Oryctolagus cuniculus: one gene and its partner. The protein of the gene in region 1 interacts with the protein of each later gene in a biochemical or structural test. Links are inferred from orthologs where the notes say so. Each region holds a gene or a part of one and is shown on either strand. Other genes may lie near its edges.

Evidence for each region.
Region 2: the proteins of RNF114 (region 1) and XAF1 form a complex in vitro, tested with the Homo sapiens proteins (2 studies listed by BioGRID). The link is inferred for Oryctolagus cuniculus from reciprocal best matches to the Homo sapiens genes RNF114 and XAF1.

The regions. Positions count from the first base shown.
Region 1 is NC_091442.1:10,686,664-10,690,163, forward strand, and holds part of RNF114 (E3 ubiquitin-protein ligase RNF114), read right to left. Parts: coding exon 3,429-3,500; intron 3,129-3,428; coding exon 3,014-3,128; intron 1-3,013. UniProt on the Homo sapiens protein: E3 ubiquitin-protein ligase that promotes the ubiquitination of various substrates. In turn, participates in the regulation of many biological processes including cell cycle, apoptosis, osteoclastogenesis as well as innate or adaptive immunity.
Region 2 is NC_091448.1:49,844,149-49,847,648, forward strand, and holds part of XAF1 (XIAP-associated factor 1), read right to left. Parts: intron 2,396-3,500; coding exon 2,263-2,395; intron 540-2,262; coding exon 320-539; intron 1-319. UniProt on the Homo sapiens protein: Seems to function as a negative regulator of members of the IAP (inhibitor of apoptosis protein) family. Inhibits anti-caspase activity of BIRC4. Induces cleavage and inactivation of BIRC4 independent of caspase activation.

The DNA of each region.
Region 1 (3,500 bases):
AGAGCTGCAAAGTGGAAAGGTGTGGGGCCGTGAAAACGTATAACATGGAAAAGCATCCATATCAAGAGTGAAGAATGGCCCTAAGAGGACGTAGCTGAATCTCAACAAAAAGCTTAAATGGCTCTGAATCATGATTTTGCACTTTTCCATATACGTAGCTGAGCGCTATTCAAATACTAATGAACACTCAACGAAGACCATTCCTGATACAGTGAAGAGAACAGGTTTAGGAGCCAGGACTGGTTCTGCCACTGACTCGTTAATGGGCACCTGACTTGAACTTGGGGGGTGCACTACCCACCACTTCTAACAAGGAGGGCGGAGACAGCGCAGGAAGTGAACTACAGTGCCTCACCGTTTTACTCAACCTCCTACTTTAGCTTCCATGGCTACCAATACAGCTGAATCTGTTTTATTTTAAATTTGAGAGGCGCAGCTGTAAAGACAGCGTGACCATCCACTGGTTCATTCCTCAAATGCCTACAACCACCAGGGCTGGGCCAGGCTGCAGACAGAACTCAATCAGGTCTCTCCTGTGCATGGCAGGGGCCAAAGCACCTGAGCTGCACCTGCTGCCTCCCAGTGCACAGCGGACTGGAGTCGGGACTGCAGCCAGGCAGGAGCCGTGCATTCCTCTACGGGGGCAGGGTCTGAGCCACTAGACCCGTCTAACTTTCAAACAGAAGATGGGAAGTAAGGGCAGGCAGGTGGGCCCTGTGTATCTGTATGTCTCTCTTCCAATTAGTAATTAGTTAATTTTTTAAAGATGTATTTTATTTATTTGAAAGAGTTACAGAGAGAGGTTCATTCCCCAGACGGCCTCAATGGCCAGAGCTGAGCTGATCCAAAGCCAGGAGCCAGGAGCTTCCTCCGGGTCTCCCACACGGGTGCAGGGGCCCAAGGACTTGGGCCATCTTCTACTACTTTCCCAGGCCACAGCAGAGAGTGGGCTCAGAAGAGGAACAGCCAGGACTAGAACCAGCGCCCATATGGGATGCTGGCACTTCAGGCCAGGGCGTTAACCTGCTGCGCCACAGCGCCAGCTCCAGTAATAATATTAAGAACTCTTAAAGCCTCTTGAAGATGGAGTTGAAACCTTGGCTTTGCGGAGTACACCGCTTTCTATGGCAGTGAAGCTGAAGCCTGCCCATTCAATGGAGTGCAGAGATCAAGAGAAGCAGTAGGAGATAAATTGGAAAATTAAAATGATAGAGGAGGTAGATACCCAATGACACAGGAAGACCAAGGTCCATTACACGAAGGGAGAAATCTAACACTGCTAGGGTCGGTGTTGTGGCACAGTGAGCTAAGCTGCTCCTACGATGCCAGAATGCCAGCATCCCTTCCAGAGTGATGGTTCAAGTGCCTTCCAGCTTCCTGCTGCTGTGCCCAGAAAAGCAGCAAAAATGGCCCAAGTCCTTGGGTCCCTCCTCTCCGCGTGGGAGACCCAGATGGAGCCCCAGGCTCCTGGCTTTGACCTGGACCAGTTCTGGCTGTTGTGGCCATTTTGGGAATGAACCAGCAGATGGAAGATCTCTTTCGGGACCGGCATTGTGGCATAGCATAGTAAAGCCTCTGCCTGTAACACTGGCATCCCCAGTGGGCACTGGTTTGTGTCCTGGTTTCTCTAATCATTCTGTGGTATTTAAATGAAACAGCAGGGCCGGTGCTGTGGTGTAGGTTAAGCCTCTGCCTGTGGCACCGGAATCCTATATGGGTTAAGTTCTGGCTACTCCACTTCCAATCCAGCTGCCTGTTAACGCCCTTGGGAAAGTAGCAGAGGACAGTCTGAGAGCTTGGGCCTCTGCACCCACATGAGACCTAGATGAAGGTCTAGGCTCCTGTCTTCAGCCTGGCTCAGCCCTGGCTGTTGTGGCTATTTGGGGAGTGAACCAGTGGATTAAAACCCTTTCAAATAAATACATATTAAAAAACAGGATTATTTTCACCTACCTGAAAGGCACAGTGGGGTGGCACTGTGGTACAGTGAGTTAAGCCTCACAGCAATAGCAGAGTGCCAGCTCGAATTCCGGCTTACTGCTAGTGCACCCGGGAAGGCAGTGCATGGCTGAGGACCTGGGCCCTGCCACCCGCGTGGGAGGCTGGGATGAAGCGCCTGGCTCTCGGCTTTCACCTGGCCAGTCCCAGCTGTTGCAGGCAGAGAAGAGAGAAGCAGCGGATGGGCCAGCGCTGCAGCTCACTAGACTAATCCTCCGCCTAGCGGCGCCGGCACACCGGGTTCTAGTCCCGGTCAGGGCGCCGGATTCTGTCCCGGTTGCCCCTCTTCCAGGCCAGCTCTCTGCTGTGGCCCGGGAGTGCAGTGGAGGATGGCCCAAGTGCTTGGGCCCTGCACCCCATGGGAGACCAGGAGAAGCACCTGGCTCCTACCTTCAGATTGGCACAGTGTGCCGGCCGTAGCGGCCATTTAGGGGGTGAACCAATGGATAAAGGAAGACCTTTCTCTGTCTCTCGCACTAACTCTGCCTATCAAAAAAAAAAAAAAAAAAAAGAGGCTGGCACTGCCGGTGGCAGCTGGCAGCTTTACACACTATGCCACAGCGCCAGCCTCTTTTTTTTAAGACTGACACAACGGGTGAAGCAGTGGCCTGCAGTGCCGTGATCCCCAAGGGCGCCCGTTCAGACCCGGCTGCTTCACTTCCGATCCAGGATCTGTTACCAGGAGGGTGGATGTGAAATGGAACAGCAGGGACTAGAACTACCACCTGGACATGGGATGCGTCTTCCTAAGCAGTGGCTTAGCCTGCTGTCCCCAAAAGTGTGCATTTTTCTATTTTAAAAGAAAACACTCTCGGGATATACATTTAAGGATTTCGGGCAAAGGTCATGGCATCTCTATAACTTAGTCCCAGACGATTAGCCAACAATACAGGGACGGGCCGGGTAAGCCAAGGTGGTAAAATGTTAATAATCCGTGAATCAGGAGTTCACCATTTTTCAGTAAGTTTGAATTTTTTCCCCAATAATACAGTAAAAAAAACCAAAAAGTCCTTACCACAGACTTGGTGTCCATGCTGTGGGATAATTTGCAGTGTTCCACAAGTCCTTCCTGATCAAAGTTCTTCTCAGGACAGTAAGGACAAGGAAAGGTGTAACGGTTTGGGACGTTCCTGGCAGACAGACATGGGAAAGGTGAGAAGCTCTCCGCGGGCACCCTGCCATGCAGCTTCAACCACTGTCCGTCCCACAAAGGAGCCACACCCACTGGGTATGGGACAGCCCCACCCTGACCAGGCCACATGCTGAATGGGCTAACATCTGAAGTGACCAGCAGACAGTCCCCCCACTTGAAGCCGACTTTGGCCAGACTAACAATCGGAGCTCCACTCCCCCAAACTCAGGCATGTGAAGCGTCCAAATCTGTGCAGCCGAAGCTGACCGCCACCTGCCGGCTCGACTGGGTCGTTTACCTTGGCTGAAGCGATGCATCCTTAGTGGTGGCCTTCACGCCCTCCATGATGTAATTCTGGTATTTGGAGCAG
Region 2 (3,500 bases), on another chromosome or scaffold:
TCGTCGGGCACAGTTGATCCTGGGTAGATTATCTACCAGCAAAGATTACCATCCGAGGGGTTTTAGGCTGACTCCATGTCACCAGAACAACCGATGACATCAACACAAGATCTGTTCCACCGATGGCTGTGGCCTCCTCACTCCCTGTGGGACTCCAGGCCCTCACCCCCTGGCCTCTTGGTCACCTTGGACCAGGATAGACACACAGCAAGGTCTGGAAGAGCCAGCTGAGCTGAGACACACGCAATGCACACGGCTTCCCTTCCTCGCATCCCGCCCAGGAGAGAAGCCCCTCCTCCCCCCAGCCTGAGCTGCCTACCTTTCCTGAGCCCGGAAGCCTGCCTGCCCCCACAGACACCTCTGTGCTGGGCCAGCTCATGGAGCATGACGAACCGGCCGCAGTCCGGGCAGCGCTCGGTCCGCGCCCCGCAGTGGTGCTCGTGGGTCTGCAGCTTGCTGAGGTGCACGGCCAGCTCGCAGAACTTGCACTCCACGGGCTGCTCCAGGTGCTTGTCGGGTCGCTCCAGGCACTCCTCGGGCTGTGGGAGGCAGCAGGAAGGGCGTGGTCTTGGGCCTGCCTCTTTGACCACAGACAGGTCAAGGACATGAGCCCACGTTCCTAGGGAACGGAAGCTGATCGGAGGAAGCAGGGGGAAGGGCCGGAGTGCGGGACTGTCTGTCTTAGGGAAAGATGAGCTCTCTTGGACTTGGGGACTGTGGAAAGCCCTTCCGAGCAGTATCGGGGGCAGGTGCACCCGGGCGCCCTGGTGGCCTGGTTCTCACTGCTCTCTGAGCCTACCTGAGCAAGGAGGGAACAGCCCGGTGAACATGTTAACTGTTGGCCTCTCCTCCCCTCTCACTGCCCTTTCCACAGGGTGGCCAGCTTGATGTCACGGAGGAATCACACAGGGACTCCCCTGCTATAATTCCAGCAGTCTGATGGCACATTGCACAACTGACCTAAACATCCAGACACAGGACCTCCAACCCTGCACTCCAGCATGGAGTCGTCCCACCAGTCGTCCCAACTGGTGCCTTCAGTGCTGTGCCAGATGCCCACCCACCTTTTTAAAACTTCTATTTTGTTTGAGAGACACACCCACGACCCGCCTCACATCTGCCTTGGCTCATGCAGCTGCAGTTTTGTGTCCATGAGCTCCTAGAGAGTAGGGATTGGGTACAGCTACCTCAATCTCCCTCCATCATCACCCAGCTTAGTGCTCAAGAAGTGCCTGCTGGCCCAGTTAGAATTGAGATGGTTGCCTAGGGGCTGGCGTTATGGTATAGTGGGTTAAGCTGCTGCTTGCGACACTGGCATCCCATATCAGAGTACCAGTTCTAGTCCCAGCTGCTCCGCCTCCAATCCAGCTCCCTGCTGATGTGCCTGGGAAGGCAGCAGAGGGTGGGCGAAGTGCTCATGCCCTTGCCACCCACAGGAAAAACCTGGATGGCATTCCAGGCGCCAGGTTTCAGTCTGACCCAGCTCTAGCCGTTGCAGGAATTTGGGGAGCAAACCAGCAGATGGAAGATCTCTTTCTCTCTCCCCCCCTCTCTCGCCATCACTCTGGCTTGAGGACTCCAGACAGAGAGATGAGGGGCCTCAGGAGGCGCTGACATGAAAAGCAGGGAACAGAAATCAGCCAGGCTGCCCCCCTTCCTGCTTCCCTTCCGCGCGAATGTTCAAAGAACCAGCAACCCTTCCTGCACCAGGGACCCCTGGTGTGGCTGCTGTATGGCAGCCGTAGGGGAAGGACTGGAAATGGAAACTGTCCTTGTCACAGACAGGGACTGAATGGGGCGACGCCAAGTGGCTGCAGGGAGAGCAGGATGCAGGCTCCGGCCCCCAGGCCCCATTTATGTGGCTGCAGGGAGAGCGGACACTGCCCCCCCCCAGGTCCCGCCCACATGGCTGCAGGGAGAGTGGACACTGGCCCCGGTCCCCAAGTCCCGTCCACATGGCTGCAGGGAGAGTGGACGCTGGCCCCGGTCCCCAAGTCCCGTCCACATGGCTGCAGGGAGAGTGGACACTGGCCCCGGTCCCCAAGTCCCATCCACATGGCTGCAGGGAGAGCGGACGCTGGCCCCGGTCCCCAAGTCCCGTCCACATGGCTGCAGGGAAAGTGGACGCTGGCCCCCGTCCCCAAGTCCCGTCCACATGGCTGCAGGGAGAGCAGACACTGCCCCCCCAGGTCCCGCCCACATGGCTGCAGGGAGAGCGGACACTGGCCCCGGCCCCCAGGTCTCGTCCTGCCGCCCCCTCACCTGCTGGTGCTCCTTGAGATGGTCTGCCATCTTCACCCCCGGGATGGGCTCCTTGCACTCAGGGCAGAGTTCCAGGAACCTCAGGCAGTGGGCCTCATGGAGGGCGAAATGGGCAGAAGCCACACTTCTTTTGCTGCAGGAATAGGGGAGAGAGAGCTGCGGGCTCATCGCCATGGTATCCAGCGTGGAGTTGGACTTCACACCTAGGCCAGCTCTCCAGAGCTGCTCAGCACTGCAGGTGTGGCGATGAAGCCCGCTACCCAGCCCTGCCCACGCTGGCCCCGAGTCGGAACAATGCGACATCATGACACTTAGAGGTGGGGATGCTGTACAGAGTCCTCACGGTGCCAGGGGAGGGGGAGGGGAGCAGCCAGGAGGGACGGCTTACAAAGGAGACTTTTGGGGGGTGATGATTCTGGGACGGATTCCCACAACTATGTGAGCCATCACCTGCTGCCTCCCAGGGTAGCAAAGTTGTTTTAAAAACAAGATAATAGGGACCAAATTCTGAATTTTGTCATTGTCGTTATTGCTGCTTATTTGCTGCTGCCCCTGCTTGGTCCCCAGACATTTAGGACAGCGCTCCTGCCATGCTCAGAGTCCCTGCACGAGCCGTGGCAGTGAGAGCTGCCCAGGTCTCTGAGAGTGCCGGCCAACCACCTGCCCGCCTGCAGGAGGTCGCAGGGAATGAAGCCTTGGGAGCCTCCACTGCCCGGATGTCCCCAGGAAACGCCTCCTTTTGTTCCTGGGTTCTTACTGCTGGCAGCTTGCGGGGAAGGAAACTGTGTGGCTGCAGCCTCAAGGCCCAGGGGACCAGGGCAGAGTGCGGCCAAGTTGCTGGCGTGCGGGCGGGCCACGGACAGGAGCTGGACAGCTCTTGGCATCCGCAGTGCCCGGGCAGATGCAGGCTAGCGGCTTCGCTCTCCCTTCCTCTCTTCTCTCCCTGGCCTGACCCCTCTGCTGTCCTTGAGCCCATTCAGCGCCCAGAGGGCGAGGAGGTGGTTGTGGCTGGAGCAGAGCTGTCCGGGGAGGGTCCACCCTGGTCCCCACCGCAGGTGGAGAGCAAAGCTGTTGTTCCCAGGCCAGGTGCTGCTGAGTTACAGGTGTGCTCCCGCCCCCAGCTTGGCCCTCCGAGCCCACTCCACAGCTCCTTCTGAATGGGAGGGTGGGAATGGTCCTGGACAATCTCCCAAAACCCCTTCCTTCCACAGATCGGCCCGGGGACCCCATGAGTGTCA